Linked DNA regions of Notamacropus eugenii. The protein of the gene in region 1 purifies or fractionates together with the protein of each later gene. This does not show direct contact. Links are inferred from orthologs where the notes say so. Each region holds a gene or a part of one and is shown in the gene's direction. Other genes may lie near its edges.

What was found. Proteins that work in one complex are often made in the same cells at the same time.
Region 2: the proteins of H2AZ1 (region 1) and ACTR6 purify together in Homo sapiens (affinity purification with mass spectrometry; 4 studies listed by BioGRID and IntAct, with this or other methods). This does not show direct contact. The link is inferred for Notamacropus eugenii from reciprocal best matches to the Homo sapiens genes H2AZ1 and ACTR6.
Region 3: the proteins of H2AZ1 (region 1) and VPS72 purify together in Homo sapiens (affinity purification with mass spectrometry; 4 studies listed by BioGRID and IntAct, with this or other methods). This does not show direct contact. The link is inferred for Notamacropus eugenii from reciprocal best matches to the Homo sapiens genes H2AZ1 and VPS72.

Annotation. Positions count from the first base shown.
Region 1 is NC_092878.1:137,931,128-137,937,356, reverse strand, and holds H2AZ1 (histone H2A.Z), read left to right. Parts: upstream 1-4,353; 5' UTR 4,354-4,368; coding exon 4,369-4,467; intron 4,468-4,616; coding exon 4,617-4,730; intron 4,731-4,847; coding exon 4,848-4,977; intron 4,978-5,283; coding exon 5,284-5,345; 3' UTR 5,346-5,726; downstream 5,727-6,229. UniProt on the Homo sapiens protein: Variant histone H2A which replaces conventional H2A in a subset of nucleosomes. Nucleosomes wrap and compact DNA into chromatin, limiting DNA accessibility to the cellular machineries which require DNA as a template.
Region 2 is NC_092874.1:283,108,098-283,115,110, forward strand, and holds the start of ACTR6 (actin-related protein 6), read left to right. Parts: upstream 1-4,011; 5' UTR 4,012-4,225; coding exon 4,226-4,293; intron 4,294-7,013. UniProt on the Homo sapiens protein: Required for formation and/or maintenance of proper nucleolar structure and function. Plays a dual role in the regulation of ribosomal DNA (rDNA) transcription.
Region 3 is NC_092873.1:305,027,779-305,035,088, reverse strand, and holds the start of VPS72 (vacuolar protein sorting-associated protein 72 homolog), read left to right. Parts: upstream 1-4,308; 5' UTR 4,309-4,514; coding exon 4,515-4,631; intron 4,632-7,310. UniProt on the Homo sapiens protein: Deposition-and-exchange histone chaperone specific for H2AZ1, specifically chaperones H2AZ1 and deposits it into nucleosomes.

The DNA of each region.
Region 1 (6,229 bases):
ACTTCATGAAAATATCTGCTGTCACTTTAAATGGACATATCTAAGATGGAATTCATCTTCTGCTTGATCCTACTCAGGATGGCCCTATTTCTGTTGACAGCAGCATCATGGCTGTGCTAGTCATCTAGATTGGAAACCTGAGTCATTCTGGACACACCTTCTTCCCCCCTTCCTTCCCTTTCTATTATCTAATCAGATGCTAAATCCTATTAATTTTTTCTTTCACTTTCTTTTTCTTCCCTCTGTCACAACCATAGTTCAGGATCCTGTTACTTCACACTTAGACTATTATAATAATGGTCTTTTAACTGAGCTCTTGTATTGTTACACTGGCATCCCACTTGTCATATGTCTTTCTAGTTCTCTAATCTAGCTTTCAAGTAAGGACCTGGAATATAGGAATGATATGTTTTTTTAGATCTGTCCATACTGTTGGGCCCTCAAATATTTTTGTAATTTTGTTCAATCAAAAGTCTAAAACTGTATCAGACTTGAATAAATTATATATTGAACAGGAATGCTCTCAATTTCTCAAGACTTGTATGAAGGTATAGCTGTCATTCTTATCGAATATGTCTCTCTCAGTCATTTTTTGGTCATGTCCAACTCTCCATGACTCCATTTGGGGTTTTCTTGGTAAAGATACTGGAGTGGTTTGTCATTTCCTTCTCCAGTTCATTTTCCAGATGAGAAACTGAGACAAACAGGGTTAAGAGACTTGCACAGGGTCTCCCAACTAGTGTCTGAGGCCACATTTGAACGAAGGTGAGTCTTCCCGACTCCAAGTCTGGCACTCTAGCCTGGCACTTTATACAAGGATTGGTTGAAGGAGTTGGGCAAATCTGTTTAGTCTAGAGAAGAGAATGCTTTGGATGTAAATGATAACAGTGTTAAATACTTGAAGAGTGATCTTGGAAGAGGAGTTAGACAGTTAGACAGACCACACCTTGGCTAGCAGAACTAGGAACAACACAGAATTTGTGTATTAATGAGGTCAGACTTTGGAGTCAGAGAACCTGAAATGACATCCAAGCTCTAATGCTCACTACTTATGCAACTGATGGATTCACAGCCCATCTAGAGCCTTTTGGTGCCTCTCTATGAAATGAATGAGCTAAACTCCGTGGAAGGAACTGTATTAGTTTTTGTGTGAATGAGATATTGGGGATGACTGATCCTTCCCACTTTACTCTTCCCTTCTTTTTGCTCCTCCATGGCCCCTTCTAGTGCTACATACACTAGGCATCTCAAGCAATTGATAAAGTAGATTGGCCCCTTAAGAAGAAAGGGATGGGGAGGGTGGGGTTTCTGACCCTTGAAATATAAAGAGGCTTAGCCCTGAGGGGGAACCGAGTCCTCAATTCTGCAATTACCTGGGGGGGGGGGAGAGGTAAATTGATGCCTTCTTTTCTGGATGATGGTTGTTTGTGGTGACTACCAAAGGTAATATTTTCTATCCCTTTAACTTTGGAATTATGCCCTTTTAAAACCCGCCTAAGTAAAGTTGGTTTTTCATTTGTGTTTTATGTTCCAGTTATATTTTAAACCTTGAATCTGCTTAAGGCTTGGCCTATAATACACTAGATTATCTCTAAATTCTCTTTTAGCTCAAAATTATATGATCATATGCTTCAGAGTAGCAGGCAGACCAGTTTGATGGAAGAAAAAGGTTTCTAACAAGGAGAGCCATTCCAAAGCTCAATGGGCTGCCTGAGTAGTAAGTTCTCCAAGAATTTAAAAAAAAGTGTATTAAGTGTTTACTATATTCCAGGGCACTGGAGATACAAAAAGGCAAACTGTTTCTGCCCTCAGGGAGTTTATATTCTAATAGGAATAGACAACACAAGTGGGTAAGTGGTGACCTTGGAAGGGTGTTTTGACCTGGGAAGCTGATTTGATTACTGATCGAAGAGCTAGAGATGGAAAGGGGAAAGGTATGGAGACTACCTATGAGAGCACTGGGGCAAGGTTAGCGCTGGGGCTGGGTTCTGAGTTATACATGGAGGGCTTTGAAAATTCCAGGGTACCAGGTTGATACCAAGCCACCAGGTCCTAGAAGCAGAGGCTGGAATCAGGTTGCATGAAGATGGAGGGAGACAGTCTTCAATGATCACATCAGGGATTCCTAATCCCTGACCTCTGAAGTCCTTTCCCATTCTTAGCCCAACTCACTAAATAGCCAGATCAATGAAGTTAACAAGCCACCCAACATTTATTAAACACGTACTCATATTTATGTTCACAGAGTGGTTTGATACTCCCAGAAAAACACAAGAAACAGAAATCATGGTCCTTCAGGGAATGCACAGCAAGTGTTAATGATTTTTACTGATAAGAGACACAAAACACATAAACATCGCACCATCTAGTTGGGAGTAGTATGAGATAGGAACGGTTTATAACGAAGGGCGGACAGGCTTGGCATCGCTCTGGATGTCGACAAAACGGAAACAATCCAAGTGCAGTCCTCCCCGCGCCTACAGGAGCCAGGCCAGCCCGTCCATCGGCCCAGAGTTGTTCTGGCACTAGCGACAACAGGTTGGAGCTGAGCACATCCACACCTGGTCTAAAGGCATGCCCTGGGGAGCTAGGAGCCACCTTCAGACCGCGTGGCCGGACTCCTCGGAGCCACGATCCTGGGGTCCTCAGTCCCACCGAAGCGGTCTGGTTCCAGGAAGAACTCCGGGGAGGGAACACAACCGTCCCCCGCCGGTCATCCCAGGACCAGGGAGAGGCGAGCGAGGCGAGGGCGAAATCCAGCATCTCCCCACTTCTCTTCTTCCAACACGGTTTTCGGCAAAATAACGAGAGCAGTGACCAGTGCGCAACGCTGCCTGGCGGACCGCAGGCGCCGGTTCCGGGCTCAGCGCCCCCAGCTCTGCACGGCATCACGTTTCCATCGGAGCTCTCAGGGCTGGGCTGCGCTCCCGGCACCACCGCGAGTACCGGGCGGAAGGGAGGGCCCGATCCCTGTCCAGCACGGGGGTCCGCGCCGGCCTCCGCCCGAGCACCGGGAGCTCGCCCCCGCAGCCCCGCGGAGGAGGGGAGTCCTCTCGGCGACTTGTCAAAGCAGCCCCAAGCGGAGCCTCCAGGCCCGGGCCTCCGAGAACGAACGGCGCACCGTCGCGGGCAGCCAAGGAGGCAGCCCGAGGAGGGGACGCCGGCCCCGCACCAACTCCGCGGGCCGTGCCCACGGTCGGCGAGGGGCAGACGTGCACGTCCCGCAGCCGAGCGTCGAGGGGAGAGAAGCGGCGCATCTGCGGCGGTGGCTCGGCGGCCGCTCGCTCCCCGCTCCTTTGTGGCCGCTTCCTCGGGGCTCGGCGGGGACCCCCTACTGCGGCCCGTGCAGGCCTGCGGGCTCCTATCGACGGCACCGCCGCGGCTAGTCGGGACGCGGGGAGGCTGTCTTCCGGGCCCCGTCGGCCGGCCGGGTGAGCGGGCGACGCTGGCCGGTCTCAGAGTCAAGGGCGTGGGGGAAGGGAGTCGGCCGGGCCCGGCAGGCTCGGGCGCCCCGGCGGGGAGCCTCGGCGCGCGCCCTTCCTCCGCGCCGCCCCCAGTCACGTGACGCCGGCTGGCTGGCTGCTCTGCGGGAGCGCCTTCGCTTGCTCCATTTCTCCCCCTCCCTTCCTCCGGCCTTCCCTTTCATTTCCCCCCCCCGCCCCGCCCCCACCCTGACACCAGCTCTCGCTAGAGCGACGAGAAGCCCGCCCCCACGTCCTCCGGCTTCTCGAGCTCATTGGCTGAGGCGGCGAGGACGCGTCTCCAGGGCGAGTGGCAGCCATTGGTGCGGGGGGCGATCCGAGTTCCCGGATGAGGGAACATTCTGCAGTATAAAGGGAGCGGGGAAGGCGGGAGACAGCGCAGTTTGAATCGCGGTGCGCCAGAGCAGTAGCCGGCGGGATCTCTGCCCGGGTGTTTGCTTGGTCCACTCTCGGCCGTGAGCGTGTGTGCGGGAGAGGTTCACGCTTAACTCAAAATGGTAAACTTAGCACAGGGGCCTGAAGGATTCCGCGGGCTGGAGAAGGGGGAGGGGAGCGGGGGAGGACGCCGTTACCCCCGGGGACTGGGGAGGGGAGCGGCGGTTGGGGCGCGCGCGCGCGCGCCTGCTCGGCTTCGGAGAGGAGAGGGGGACGGTTGGGGGGAGGGAGCCGCCTCCGGGCTCGTGGCGGCGGCGACGGTTGGTGGCGCGCGTGCGCGGCGGCGCGCGCTCCCGGCGGCCCGCGCGCGGCTGGTGGAGCGCCGCCGGCCCCCCCTCCCGCCCGCTCGCGCCCGGGGCCATGCTCCGGCCGGGCGTTGGGAGGCCCCGCGGAGGGGGAGGGGTCCTGGCCGGGCTGAGCGCCTCCACCCCCGCCCCCTCCTCCCGCCCGCATGGGTGTGTGCCCCCTCCAGGCTGGCGGGAAGGCTGGGAAGGACTCCGGAAAGGCCAAGACAAAGGCGGTTTCCCGCTCGCAGAGGGCCGGCTTGCAGGTCAGTGGGGATGGCCCCTCCGGGCGGGCGGGCGGGTCTCCTCGCGCGTGGGCCGGGGCAGTCACGTGTGCCCGGGTCGGGATTTGGCGGGAGGGGCCCCGCCCGGCCGGATCTTAATTGTGCATTCTCGGGGGTGTGTTTTCTCCAAGTTCCCCGTGGGCCGCATTCACCGGCATCTGAAGTCGCGGACGACGAGCCACGGACGCGTGGGCGCCACGGCCGCCGTGTACAGCGCAGCCATCCTGGAGTATCTGACTGCAGAGGTGAGGGGGCCGGGCGCCGCGGGGGTGGGGGGGGCGGGGAGGGGCGCCCGCACGGAGCAGAGCCGAGGAGGTGCGGGACGCGGTGACGGCAACCGCATCCCGGCTCTCCCCACGCAGGTCCTGGAGCTGGCAGGAAATGCATCGAAAGACTTGAAGGTGAAGCGCATCACCCCTCGCCACTTGCAGCTCGCCATCCGTGGGGACGAGGAATTGGACTCGCTGATTAAGGCCACCATTGCCGGGGGTGGTACGTAGCCCACTTACCTACCTTGCAAAGTTTGGGTCGGGCTTGCGCTTGCTTCTTGCGTAGGAATCACGAGTGACTTTGAGAGCCCCTTCATATTCAGGCAGTTTGTACTGTGTGTGGAAGCTCCCTGAAACAAACTGGATTAACAAGATAGAGTCTACTCTCGATGGCAGTTGGACAAAGTAACCTTTTAGTTAAGAACCTAAAGAAGGGCAAATAGAGATTCTTTTTTGGTGCTTTTAAATAGTTAACTTGCATGGAACCTTAAAAAAAAAGAAAGCTTCTAATCCTCTAACACTCTTATAGGTGTGATTCCACACATCCATAAATCTCTGATTGGAAAGAAAGGACAACAGAAGACTGTTTAAAGGATGCCTGGATTCCATGTTATCTCAGGACTCTAAATACTCTTAACAACTGTCCAGTGTTGGTGATTTCCAGTGGACTGTATCTCTGTGAAAACCACAATTTTGCCTTTTTGTAATTCTATTTTGATTAAGTTGGAAGCTTACTTAGCTTTCCAGCTAACCAAATTTCTGCATTGAAGTCTTAACCATATTTAAGTGTTACTGTGGCTTCAAAGAAGCTATTGATTCTGAAGTAGTGGGTTTTGATTGAGTTGACTGTTTTTAAAAATCTGTTTGGATATTAATTGTGATGCAGAAGTTATAGTAACAAACATTTGGTTTTGTACAGACTTTTATTTACACTCTGGTGGATAAGTTCAATAAAGGTCATATCCAAAACAAGTTTGTTTCTTGAATTTTCGTGTATTGTAGCACAGACTTAGGTCTGTTGGATCCAAATAATCTTAACTCAAATGAGCCATTTGAAAATAGGAGGCCTGGTAACTTAAACATAGGTTTCTCCTGATCAACTAGAATACAAAATAAGTTCAACCAGAAGCAAATCAAATACATCTGTGGCTCTAATAGAAATAGAAGATGCATTAAAAATTATTAAAAGTTATGACACTTTTTATCAAAGGTTGAGAAGTTCGTCAACAGGGTCTTCTCCTCAGTTTGTGTACATACCTATGTACCTCCGTCCCCACTGTCATAACTTTGCCAGACATCATCTTAAGCAAAAGATGGTGGTATAGCTTATCACAAAATTAATGGTAGGTGGAGACATAGGCTATTCATCCTGAAACATAATCCTTGGATGAAGTAGACCAAACTATAGATAGCGGCCTATGAAGGAAGGATGATAGCTATTAATAATGAATGAGTCTTATATACCTGTATAGAAT
Region 2 (7,013 bases), on another chromosome or scaffold:
AAAACTCCAGCAGTTCCCTATTACCTCTAGGGTCAAATATAGAACCTTCTGTTTAGCTTTTAAAGCTTTTCATAACCTGGGCCTTTTCTAGTTTTTCAATCTTCTTACACTTTATTCCCACCATATTTCCTTTGATCCAGTGACATTGGCCTCCTTGCTGCTTCATCTCCTGACTGGGCATTTTCACTGGCTGTTCTCCATGCCTGGAACACTATCCCACCTCATCTCTGCCTAAGTTCCTTGACTTGCTTGGAGTCTCAACTAAAGTGCCACTTTCTGCAAGAAATCTTTCCCAGCCCTCCTTAATCTTAGTGTCTTCCCTCTGAGACTGCTCCCAATTTATCCTGTCTTTTATATATACACTGTTGTTTACATGTCACCTCCCCCCATTAAACTAAGAGCTTCCTGAGAGCAAGGACTTTTTTTTTTTGGCCTTTCTATTCCAGCACTTTGCAGAGTACCTGGCATATTTTTATTGAGTTTTCATTCATGTCCAACTCTTCCTGACCCTGTTTGGGGTTTTCTTGGCAAAAATACTGGAGTGGTTTGCCAATTGTTTCTTCAGCGCATTGGACAGATGAGGAAACTGAGGCAAACAGGGTTAAGTGACTTACTCAGGGACACATGGTTAGTAAGGGTCTAAGGCCGGATTTGAAATCAGGAAGAGGAGTCTTCCTGACTCCAGGCTTGGCACTCTCTACTTTGGGCCCCTAGTTGTTCTGCCTGGCACATAGTAGGCGCTTAATAAGTTCAAGTTACTTTTTTCATTTATCCCACTAATTGGCAATTAGATGGCATATGGAATAGAGTGGTAGGCTTAGAGTCTGTGTTCTATCCTGTCTCAAATGTATACTAGCTTGTATGTGACTGTGGGAAAGTCACTTAACCTCATCAGCCTCATTTTTCCTTCTGAAAAATGGGGATAACATTGGTACCTCTCTCCCAGGGTTGCATGGCTCAAATCAGGAAATTTTTAAAGTGTTTTACAAATCTTAAAATGCCTTATATATTTTAACTATTTCATTAATTCAAGAGCTCATATTGTAGTATGGGGGAAGACAAAGGATGTAGGGTATAACATCTAAGGGGGGGGGGGTAACTGGGAAAAGCTTCCTGAGGTTCTGCTGGGCTTGAAATAGGGGAAGAGTTAAATTTTAAAAAATTGATGGTTTTCTGTTTGTATATTACCTTTATTTTCCAATATACCTATTCCCTCTTTCCTTATTTTCCTCAACATGTTCCATGATCAGAGGAGGAGGCCCTGGAGGCCATGAAGTCCTATGCAAACAGAAGCCCAGGGAGAGGACAGGATCACAGACCCAGAGCTGGAAGTGTCCACTGAATGAATGACTGCAGAACAGAAGAAAAGGTGAAAACCAGCTCAGCAAGAGTAATGAATACATCAACAAGACCACAGGATACAATTCAGTCTACACTTAGAGTTTTCAATCTCATCACAAAGGGAACTCAGTGCACTTTCTTATGCCTCCCATTGGACCAAGCCTGGTCCTGATAACCACACAATGTCAGGGTTTGATTCTTTGGCTACTGTTGAAAGAATGGAATGATTTCAGCAGGTAGAAATGTCAACTCAAGTAAAGCCAAGGAGCATTTATTTAGTGTCTACTATATGTCTACTGGGAATAGAGAGGCAAAAATTGGACCTGCCCTCAAGAAGCTGATAATCTAATGGAGTAAACAGCATGTCAGTTACCATGTACAAACAAAATAGGAAAAAAACAGAAATAATCAGCACAGCGAAGGCACTAGCATTAACAAGATGGGGAAAGGCAGGCTGTAACAGTCAGCTTTAGGTTTGTTTTTTTTAATTTTATTTTTGGTGGACTTGAAAATCATTTCCTCAAAGTTATTTTTTCTCCATCTTAAGTATGTCATAAACTTCCCTTTCTTCTTTTATACTTTCTTGTTAATTTTTTTTTGGCTTTTCCATTGGTTTTATTTCTGAACATACCCCTTCCCATTTTAAGTTTGCCCTTATAAGAAAGATAAAAAAAGAAAAACCAAAAACAGTTCAGTAAAACCAACATACCTACTATGTCTGATGAAATGTGTTGCACTTTGCTCTCATAGCCCAGTTTTTTCTTCAGTGAAAGGCATTTCCTTTACTTTCCAGGACATTTATCCAACAGATTATTTTCCTTCTAGCAAAGCACTTTCACAATATTCAACACACCATACCACTAATTAGCTTGAAGAACCCAAGTGAATCATGTCACTTCCCCGGCTCTGGGTTCACTCATCTGTAAAATGTAGGGGTTCAACCAATTTATCTTTGTGATTGCTGCCAGCTCTGAAGTTCTATAACTGTATGACTTTATCCTGCAGGCATACATTTGCCATGTGGATGTGGTAATTTGACTTGAAAAAAATGATGCCTCGGTGGATTTGAATTAAAATGCGTGTGTGTGTGTATGTGTGTAGAGACAGAGAGAGAAAGAAGGGAGGAGAAAAGAAAGGGAAACAAAGGGAGGGAGATGGAGAGAGGGAAACACACAGAAAGGGAGGAAGTGGTCCAATCTGTGAATTCATTGGTACAGGCCACTCCTCGTGAGGAAAACTGCCTCTATCTTTAGAGAATTTTATTTTTTAACTGACCCTATGATTTCTTGAAAGTGGAGAGCACTCAACGAGGAACTTCCTTTATCAATAGAGATCAGTACCTTTTCTGCGGCAGATAGTCTTGGAAAGGTTCCTGGGTGGATGGGAGACTTGACTTACTCAAGTCTCTGGATACCTGTCTGGATATGTCAGAGGCAAAAATCCCTGAACCCAGCTCATCCTCACTCAACTATCTACTTATTCTGGGAGGGCAGCTAGGTGGTGCAGCGGAGAGAGCACCAGTGCAGGAGTCAGGAGGACCTGAGTTCAAATCTCACCTCAGACACTTGGCACTCACTAGCTGTGTGACCTTGGGCAAGTCACTTAACCCCAATTGCCTCCTCCTGGGTCATCTCCAGTCATCCTGATGAATATCTGGTCACTGGATCCAGATGTCTCTGGAGAAGTGAGGCTGGTGACCTGCACAGCCCTCCCTCACTGAATACAAAGTCAAGTTCAAGTCACGTCCTCATTCCTCTGATGGCACGGTCTTCTTTGGCATCAAAGGATGAACACACTTATTCCGGGACAGATACATTTATTGAAACTGACGAACCTTTCTGCACAACTCTGCTGCTCAATGGATGGATACAGCATGTGCCCCTCCTCCCCAGCAGCCTTCCTCCAGGTGGGCGCTGGTTCTGCACCCTTGAGGTCTCTTCCTCAGGTTGGGGACCTCCACTCCAGGGGATACCCACACCAGCCAGGCGCAGCTCAGCCAGGGTGACCTTCCCACCTTCTGCACCCCACATCTCCGCGGTCCTGCCCCACTCATGTGGTAACAGCGGGGGGTCTTCCCTTCCTGATTCCTCTGTGAAGGCGAAGGAGGCTCTGTTTGCCTCGATCCTTCCCCAGCCTTTGATGACTGAATGGGCGTTAAGAAGGCCAGGGTGCCCTCGTGGGCCTGACCCACGTGTAGCCCCAGAGGAGACAGAGAGGCCTGGCCCGCACGTCACCGATCCTCCAGCGCTGTAAGGCGGCCAAGCCCTTTACTCACAATAACCTGGGGGGGGCGGGGAGGCGCTCTGGTCACCCCCATTTTACAGATGGGGAAACTGAGGCAGGGGCTGTGACTCGCCCACAGGGGGAATTGGAATCCGGCCTTTCGGATTCCGCGTGAATTCCACTTGAGTGTAAAAAAAGGACGGAAGCCGCGCTTTTCCCCTGCTTCCGTCAGTACCCCCAGGACGTGCCCGGCACTCGGGCACTCGTAAACGCTCCGTTCATTCACTCGTTCCAGCTCCGGCTCCCTCGGTCTCACGCCGGAGAGGCCTAGAGGGCCTGCAAGGCCCCTTCCTCCTCTGGACCTAGGATCCCACGAAGAAAGGCGCAGAGAGACACGCCCCCCTCCCGTTCCCGCCTTCACTTTTTTCCTCCACACGGACATCCCACTTCACTCCTCCTCACTGCGCAGGCGCGGAGCATCTGCCGCCCCCTCCTCACCACGTGATGGGGGAACGCCGCGAAAAGACTCCACCCAGCCGAGAGCGGCGCTCTCCGCCAGGCCAGACCATAGAGTAGTGACGGGCCGGAGGATCGGAAAGAGAGGGCCTCCTCCCGCGAAAACGGCGCCTGCGCAGTAGCTTCCTCTGCGGGCGGAGGGATAATGGCGACGCTGGTGCTGGATAACGGGGCCTACAACGCCAAGATCGGTTACAGCCACGACAGCGTCAGGTGAGCGGCCGCTTCTCGGCCGGGGGAGAGGAGGGGTGGGCGCACCTGGCGCCGGGGGAGGCTCGTCAGCGCCCCTGAGCTTCCCGCCTTTGAAGGGGAAGGGAGACTCCGTAGTCGATTTTTTGGCGGCTTCAGAGGGCCCGGAAGTAGGGGAGTTGTTGTGTTTGTAGCCGGAAGTCCCGCCTACGCACGTGGCGGCCGGGGTCCTGGACTGAGTGACCCGCTGGGAGGGGCCTCCGAGCTTCACCACCCGAAGAGGAAACTGAGGCCAGAGACGGCAGGTCTCGGCAAGATGTCAGGACTAGCAGACAGCCGACTCGGGTCCCGTGTGGGGGTGCAAGCTGAAACGGGCCCTGCACCCCTGGAGGTCCTGGCCCACTGACGCAGCCACGCATGTCTTTCCAGACTCCTTGCCTTTGCACTGGCCGTTCCCCATGCCAGGAATGCCTTCCTTTCCTCCCCACCCCCGCCCCTGGCTACTTTCCCCAGCTTCCTTCGAGGCCGGTTTCCTTTCCCCCCTTTATGGTTAAGGTTACTTTATAGACCCTCTCACAATTGTTGTCTCTCCTCCCCGCCTTGGGATGGGAGCTTTGTGGGCAGGTGTATTGTCTGTCTTCCTTATTTTTCCCTACCGTACAGTAAACATTTAATAAAGGCATCTTTCTACAGACTGGCCCCCGGGTCCTCGTCCCCCCTGCCCCGTGCCGGCCCCCCCCCCCCCCCCCCCCCCGCCCCGGACAGCCTGGGGCTTTGCTGCCTCCCAGGGTTGTCTCGGACATGCGATGTGTCGTGTTAACATGCTACGTGACTGGAAGGCCCGTGTATACTCTGGAAGAACGCAGACTGCGCTGTCAGCAGGGGGTCCCTGTCCCCCTCCTCCCTTCCATCTTCTATCCTCTGTCCCCGCTGCCTTTGGGTGACATGCGGACCGCGCTGTCAGCAGGGGGTCCCTGTCCCCGTCCTCCCTTTCATCTTCTATCCTCTGTCCCCGCTGCCTTTGGGTGACATGCGGACCGCGCTGTCAGCAGGGGGTCCCGGTCCCCCTCCTCCCTTCCATCTTCTGTCCTCTGTCCCCGCTGCCTTTGGGTGACACGCGGACCGCGCTGTCAGCAGGGGGTCCCTGTCCCCCTCCACCCTTCCATCTTCTGTCTTCTGTCCCTGCTGCCTTTCCGTGCTAGCGGGTGCATGTGCACAGTCAGGATGTGCTGACTGACAAGCAGCAAGTTTTGAAGCTCCAGTGGTCTTCTAAGAATCTGGGCAAACAGTTTAACATTGAGAGATCTTTATGCCCCTGGCACACATCCTTTCCTCCGCATTTCTGTCACAGACATCTGATCACCTACTATGTGCAGGACATCATAGACATTTAAAAATATATACGCTCCTCAAAGAACCCGGATCATGAGACATATACACAAATACCTGTAAAACAAGGCAGGTGAGCTCTATAGAAGTGTTGTCTGCAAAATGCCATGAGAAAATCTGGGAGAGAAGAATTACTTTTGGTTAGGACATCAGGAAAGCTTTGAGGAGAGACCTTGATTTTCTTTTCTTTTTTGGATTTTATTTATTTGTTTTTAGTTTTCAACATTCACTTCTATGAGTTCTAAATTTTCTCCCCCTCCCTCCATTTCCCCCTTCCCAATATGGTGTGCAGTCTCATGTAGGCTCTACATATACATTCTTATTAAACGTATTTCCACATTCGTCATGTTGTAAAGAAGAATTAGATCTAAAGGGAAAAACCACAAGAAAGAAGAAACAAAAGGGAGATAATCATGCTTTGATCATCTTTCCAGCTCTGCAGTTCTTCTCTGGATGTGGATAGCACTTTCCATCATGAGTCTTTTAGAAGTGGAGACCTTCATTTTCTGCCCAGCACATCCAGCCCTTACTAAATGTGACCATGGGCAAGCCAAGAGTGATGCAGGGATAATATCACCTGTAGTATCCTTTTCATAGGGTTGCCATGATAATCAAGTGGAAAAATATGGAACACTTTGCACGTCTTAGAGTCTCTGTAAACATCTCCCTCTGCTTTCTGTGCAAGCATTTTGGGGTGACATTGAAAGGGGAGCCATTGGCTAGCAGGATGGGGTAGGAGGGCATTGCAGGCAGAGGAAGTATTAGCAAAGCCTCAGGGGAGAAAAAAGAAGGGGAGAAGTCAGAAATGAAACTGGCGTGGTAAATTGTGGAAGGTCTTGAGCTTGACTAGGAAGTTTGGGCTTCATCTCAAGGTGTTTGTGAACCGTTGAAGTAGGTTTTGGATAAGGGAGGAACTGGATCAGAGCTGTTCCCCAAAACTGGGATTTTTAGACATGCTTCCTTGGTGAACTCTCTGTCCCAGTGATTTTTATTCCCAGCTTCTTTCTGGTCCAGTAATACTTACAACAGTGCTTCAAGACATCACATTCTCTGTGGTAATACAACATTATATCAAAGTAGACTTCTAGGGAGCATCCTTCTCATCTAGCTTTTTGGTCAGAAGTAATTGATGACAGGCCTTGTAGCAATCTGGGCTGCTGTGTCTAGTTTACCATGTAGACTACCGCCATGTTGTGCTTCTATCATGGATATCATTTTATGCATCTGCAGAAGAGCCTCTGGAATGAAAGCCTAGGTCCCTTGTCTATCCCTTCCTAATCTGATCCCCTCTATCTGTCTACCTCTCCCATTGTGAATGCTTTACTCATTGGGCAGATCCTTGCTGGCCCTTCCAC
Region 3 (7,310 bases), on another chromosome or scaffold:
GCTAGGTCACAGGTCAAGTTCCAAGAGCCCCGCCTCCGAGATCTACGTGGGGCCCTCCCTCCTGATGTTCCTCAGGATCATCTTCCCGCGTATTCATTCATTCGCGACACGTTTATTAGACTCATTCCGAAGCTGTCAGGCCTCTCCCACAAGCTTCGGAACACACCCGATCACATACTGGCCAAGCAAAGCTTCTGAATGAGTGCAGATCGCCGGGGTCAGAAGGCCGTGGTCAGTGGGTCCTATCACAGGTCATCTAACCCCATCCAAAAGCCATCACGCAGCTCCTGTTCTCAGCCAAGAGTTCTTGTAGGTTCAAAGGAAAATAGGCACAAGACAGAGAGTTCGCTGACATTTCCATCCTGTCGTCTTTGTCCATTCGGTTCCAACAAAGTCTGCCAGAAGTATTGTGGAAATTTGGAGAAGGGAGAAGATCTTTTCTTCCCTATATTCATTTACCCCACGATTATATAAGCTTACCTTGGCAGTATGCTTTCTAGAGATGTACATATTGATCATGAGATTGGAGCTCGCGTTGCCAGAACTTTGCTCAGTGTTTGGGAGGCTCCCAAGGAAAGAGTGGGAAAGAAAAGATATTAGACTATCAAACTGAAGGTCTACAGACTGATTGTGCTGACCTCACGGTTCTATGCTTGTGAAACATGGACACTTTACCAGCTCCATGGCAGGAAACTGAATCGCTTCCATTTGAATTGTCTTAGGAAGATTCTGAAGATCACCTGGCAGGATAAGGTACTGGACCCTGAGGTCCTTCCTAAGACTAAACTGCCAAGCTCTACTGCAGAGTGAAAGTTCAACAGACTGATCACATTGTTCAATTACCAAATGTACACTTGCCTAAAAGACTGTTTTATGGAGAACTCACACAGGGCAAGTATTCACATGGTGGTCTGAAGAAACAGTACAATGTCTTTCCTAAGAACTTTGGAATTGCCAAAAGACTAATGAAAAACGCTATCCATATCCAGAGAAAGAACTACAGTCTGAATGCAGTTCAAAGCATACTATTTTTTCTTCTTTTTTGTTCATTTTTGTTCATGGTTTTTCCCTTTTGTTCTGATTCTTCTTTCACAAAATGACTAGTGCGGAAATATGTGTAAGATGATTGTATATGTATCAGATGGTATGTTGTCTTGGAGAGGAGAGAGGGGAGAGAGAGGAAATTTAGAACTCAAAATCTTATAAAAGTGAATGTTGAAAACTAAAAATTAATTTAAAAAACCAACCAAACAAAAAAAGAACTTTGGAATTGATTGTGTGACATGGGAGACACTGGCACAGGACCACCCAGCATGGTGTGCGCACATCAGAAAGTGTGCTGTGCTCTATGAGCAAAGCAAAATTGAAATTACTAAAAAAAAAAAAAAAATGCAAGATGTGTATTTACACATTTACAGAATCCACCCCAAATATTCACATAGAATATTTGTGTCCGATCTGTATTAGAACAATTCGAGCTTGAGTGGGTCTGATCAGCCACAGTTAGAGGCATTGTAACCTGACTCTAACATAGTGATGTCATTTTGGTCTTGGAGAAGGAAGGACAACAACCAACCAATATGCACCAAATGAACTTTGCTATCTCTTACGCCTAGGAGAAGTCAGGAACTATAGTAATTGCTCCTTGCTGCCATCTACTGGACTTTTTGGTTTTGTTTGTTTGTTTTGGTTTCCCCCCAAATAATGGGTTGCCCATACCAAGCTTTGCAAAGGAGGGAAGAGGGAGGGTAGTTTGGTATATTGGAAAAATTACTGAATTTAGATTCAGACAGGGGACTTGAGTTATGGTCCTGGCTGGACTAGCTTTAACTAAATTATTTAAATTTTCTGTTCTTGTTAGATTATGCCCGATTCTTCGTGACCCCTTTTAGGGTTTACTTGGCAAAGATGCTGGAGTGGCTTGCCATTTCCAGCTCATTTGACAGATGAGGAAACTGAGGCCAACAGGGTTAAGTGACTTGCCCAGGGTCACACAAACTAGTAAGTGTCTGAAGCCAAATTTGAACTCAGGAAGATGAGTCTTCCTGACTTGAAGCCCTATGTTCTACCCACTGTACCACCAGCTGTCCATAACCTTTCCAGGGTTCTGCTATTTCACCTATAAAAGGAGAGGACTGGATATGATCCTGTGAGCTGGTACGAGAGTAGGAGATTTTGAAAACAGATTCTACATGCCTATGAAAATTCTCACAGAGAAAATAATACTGCCCAAGGAGGCTAGGGTTTCTTTCATATAGTGAGTCACTTCTACAATCAGCAGATATGAGAATAAAACTGAGATTAAATTAAAGTTGGACATATCTCCATGACTCTAACCAAAGTGGAATCCAGCCATATGAAGGAAACTCATCACCCTCAGCAATACCTCTGGATCCAGAAGAGAGTGGGATTTGAATGACAAAAACCGCCTCTGTCTACCAGTTTCTTTCTGGCCTAGGAAATTTAATTTTCTCTCCATGTATTAGAAAAGGAATCAGAGTAAAGAGTAATTATATATTCATAACTAAACAAGAGAGGTCAGGGAATGGGCAAGGACATAATGAAGGATTCCTCCTTCTCAATCTTGACTCATGCAGGGGCAGTATGCTCTTCAGGCAAGGCAGCCCCCCCACCCTCTTCTCTGCAACGTTCTGTTTGAGTCATATCCCTGATCTTCCCTAGCAACATTCCTGGCATAGCACATGAGGACACAGGATGATGTGGCAGGGTGTGGGGGAAAGGGTAGGGCAGATTGGTTTTGCACTCCTTAGGAAGTAGGAAAAGGAGCTAATCTCCATTTCCACTAGAAAAGGGAAAATGGCATGATACCTCTAAAAAGAATCATAGAAATAATCCCGTATATATGAGAGACAGTTTGGCATTGTTGATTGATCTCCAAAACATATTGGATTAAGAACAGGTGGAAGGGATGGAGGAGAGGCAAGAAGCTTAGGAATCTTTTTTTCCCCTCAATTATGTTTTTAAAAATTACAAAGTTGAAGTAAATTTACAGGAAAAATATAGCATTAAACTCTAACCTAGTTATCCCATACAGGTTGGACTAGTTTGCCCACTGTGATATCTTTTCCAGCTCTAAATCTCTGCAATTCTGTGAAATTATCTTTTGATCTTTATACATCCGAATAAGGGTCAGACTCCACTGATTTACCTCACCCAATTAAAAGTAACTGCTTTTTTTTTTTTTTTAAGGTAAGAACACGTCTTGATTGAATCAATCAGGCAGAATCAAGTCTGAACAGGGACTACTTACTTCATGCTGGTCTATCCACAGACACTACAGTATAAGCTGCTGTATTGTTACTCGAATATTTCTAGTAAATTGAATTTTGCCTAAATAATAAAGAGGCTATGGGTTAACTACATGTGTATATATAATATATGCCTGCATGTTAATTACTGAATATATTAACATTATATTATATATGTATATGTACATGTACATATATGTATATATGAAGTTAGACAAATAGTCCAATCTCTATCTCAATGTTAGGAATTTTTTTACTTAGGAGCTTGAAGCAATTGTGACTGAATTTATAACTTTTCATCTGAAATATTCTCCCTAAAGCTGAAGAGAAGAAAAATCATAGGGACCTTGCATGCCCTCCGAGGCTTAAAAGAAGCTAGTTATTGTAATACTGTGTTATATATACACGTGCATGTGTTTTTATATATGCTGTACACATACATCTATGTGTATATATACATAGCAAACCTTAAAGTGCTACGTACAAATGCTATCTTCATCATCATTTCCAGAGGAATTATAATGAACATAAAAGATCTCAAAGAGCCTTGTACAATAATGATAATAATGGTTGACTTTTATATATAGGTCTTATTATGTCAGGCACCGTGCCAAGCGCTTTAAAATATTATCTTGATTTCCACACCAGGCGTATGACAGGTGCCATTTTCATGCCCATGTTCTATATCTGTAGCATTATTTTACATAAGCATTTCCTCGTTTCGACCTCGTCCCCACATCACTTTTAACAGCTTTGTTGACAAACCCTGCTTTGGCAGACGTCTGCGCCTTGTGCTAGAGCCCCAGCCTGGGGATGAGAAGCCTTTCTGACACTGATTCGCTGGGTGACCGTTTCTGTTCTTTTAAAAGAGGCTGAATGACACACTCTTCCAACTCTAATGCCACCACCCAAAAACGGATTGAACCCAGACCCAGTGCCTCTCACGTCCTAGTTTACTGGAAATTGCTGAGAGCTTGAGGGGCGGGGAGAGGAGAAGTAGGCGGCCCTAGAGGGAAGGGGGCGGAGCTGTCGAGGCTCCGTGCCAGGAGGCCGGGCTACGGAGAGGGAGGGGTGGAGGAGCAGGGCGGGGCCGCTCCGGAGCTCGGCTCTATCCTCAGCTCGGCGCTCGGCTGCTTCTGCCTGTAACGATTTCTCCTTTCCGGCGGCGACGCTAGGCAGGCGGAAAGCACCGAGCGCCGAGCGAGCTCGGGTCCGCCGCCGGTGACGGCTGGAGCCGGAGGAGGGATGAGCTTGGCTGGGGGCCGAGCACCCCGGAAGACCGCTGGGAACCGATTGTCTGGGCTCTTGGAGGCAGAGGAGGAAGATGAATTCTACCAGACCACTTATGGGGGGTTCACAGAGGCAAGAGCTGGGCCCAGGGAGGGGGCGGGGCTGCGCGAAGGGGTCTGAAAAAGGGCCGGGGGAGGGGGAGGGGGATCGGAGAGTGGCGAGCAGGGGGGAGGGGCTCCCCTCGGCCTTCGCCCTCCGCTGCCCCTGCCTGGGACAGCTGTCGGGAGAGGAGGCCCAGGCCGGTATTTCTGGATCCTTCCCCGGCCGGGGCATCAGGCATCCGCTAGGCCTGGGTTCCAGTGCAGCCTCTGACATTCATCAGCCGTGTGGCCCTGAGCAAGTGACTTCCCTCCCGCCTGCCTCAGTTTCCTCATCTGTCCGCAGTGGGGATGATGATGACGACACCAATAGCCAGCGTTTATGGAGTGCTTTATAAGTATTATTTCATAATAGCACTTACCTCCCAGGGTTGTTGGGGGAATAAATGAAAGAATATTTGGAAGGCGCTTCATGCTAGCCGTAATGATCATCATCCTCTATTCCGTTAGAAATTACAGTAAATTTTAAAGATTGCCAAACACCATATAACTAGGATTACAAGGGCTGCCATTTATGCTTATTATGTGCCAGGAGGTTCCAGTGATTGTGTTTTTGGTGGAGGAGGCACTCAGGGTTAAGTGACTTGCCCAGGGTCACACAGATATAGTAAGTGCCTGAGGGCAGATTTGAACTCAGATCCTCTGGACTCCAGGACCAGTGCTCTCTCCCCTGCACCACCTGCCTGACCCAGACCCAGATGACTCTGAAGGATAAAGTGAGGCTGGTGATTTTGCACAGCCCTTCCTCACTTAAATCCAATTAACTTGTGCATCATGACATCACCTTCCTGATGTCATGGAGAAGGAAGGACAAACAACTATGTGCCAGATCCTTCATTAAGTCCAACACAGTCCTATGAGATAGGTGCTGTTACCATCCTCATTTATAGATGAGGTAACTGAAAACTGAGGCTCCAAGAGATCAAATAATCATAAGCATTTATGAAGCACTTTACAAGTATACTCTTATTTTATCCCCACAACAACCATATTTACAGATGGGAAACCTGAAACCTGAAACACAGAGAGGGTAAGTATCTGAGGTCAGATTTGACCTTAGGTCTTGGTGACTTCAAGTTGCGCTGCATAGTTCCTTTACAGATTTGATTCTGAGTCATAGCACTAATAAAGGTCTGAAGTGAGATTCAATCTTTGGGTCTTTTGGACTACAGGGGTAGTGTTCTTATCCGTGAGGAGATTGAGAAGGGTCCCTAAGCAGTTTGGAGGTTATTTAAACAATCAGTTTGTGAACACTAGGGAAGTGATGAGCAGAGTGAACATATAATTACATGCGAACAAGTGATGGTAATTACCAAGAACAAGAGGCAGTTGGTGGCTCAGTTGGTAGAGCACTGGACTTGGAGTCAGGGAGACGAATTCAAATCCAACCTCGCACACTAGCTGTGTGATCCTGGGCAAGTCCCTTGGCCTCTGCCTCAGATTCCCCAACAACTTCCCCTGGTTCTTGTGAAGATGAAGTGAGGTAACATTTGTAAAGTGCTTACTTAACACAGCTGCTGGTACATAGTAGCATGATATAAACGCTAGGCTAGCAATTGTTATTATTATGCCAGACTGACTTCATTTCTTAGGATCATAAATTTAGAGTTGGATGGGGCAAATAAATTTAGAGCTGTAAAGGTCATGTGGTCTAGCCTTTTTATAGTATGTATAAGGAAAAGCAGGTCCAGAAAGTTGTGATTTACTCAGGGTTACATAAGTAGTAAGCAAAAAAGTCTGGATTTAAATTGAGGTCATCTGACTCCAAGCTTGGTGTTCTTTGCATTCCATGTTTGGTTTGTTCTTTTTTTAAAGAGGTTGTCAAGGGAATGCTTTAGCCATAGTGAACCCAGATTTCTGTAAAGGGTATAACAGTTCTTTATGAGATCTTTATATACAGATGAAGAGAGCTCCATGATAGCATAGTTAAGCGGAAATCTAGATGGAGCCTTTTATCCAAAAAATGTTGGGTTAATAGATCTCCTCACCTGGGGCTCTGTCTTCTGTTTCTTGCTGTTCTATAGTTTTCATCAAAGATGGGGATGAAGGCACAGATATACCTTATTTATAGAATTTGTAAATAACCCTAAGCTAAGAGAAAGTTTTGGATGAGATACTTAGGCTTCAAAATTTTTGGCCTATTGATGTATCATGAAATTTAATAGACATAAATGTAAAATACAGCTCCAGGGTTAAAAACTTAAACTGTATGGGTACAGAATGGAATGGTTCACATGAAACAGCAGTTCGTCTTAAAACAGATCCCGAAGATTTAGAGGAATCATAGAGTTGGCCAGGGATCTCAAGAGTTCATCTAGTCCAACCTGTGCCCAAATAGGAATCCCCTCCACAGTGTTCCTGACAAGTGCTTTACTCAGCCTTCTGACTGAATGCTTCCATTGATGGGGAACTCATCACATACAGCACATTCCTGTTCTAGGATAGTGCCAATGGTTAGGAGATATTTCTTTACATTTAATATTAATCTGCTTTTCTGTTTGTTGCATTCTTTGCTCCCATTCCTCTCCTCTGGGACAAAGCCAAACAAATAATCCTTTTCAACAAATACTCCTTTTCCACATGAGAGCCTTTCAGGTACTTGAGGGCAGTTACCACATCCTCCCTTAGTTTTCTCTAGACTAAACATCCTATC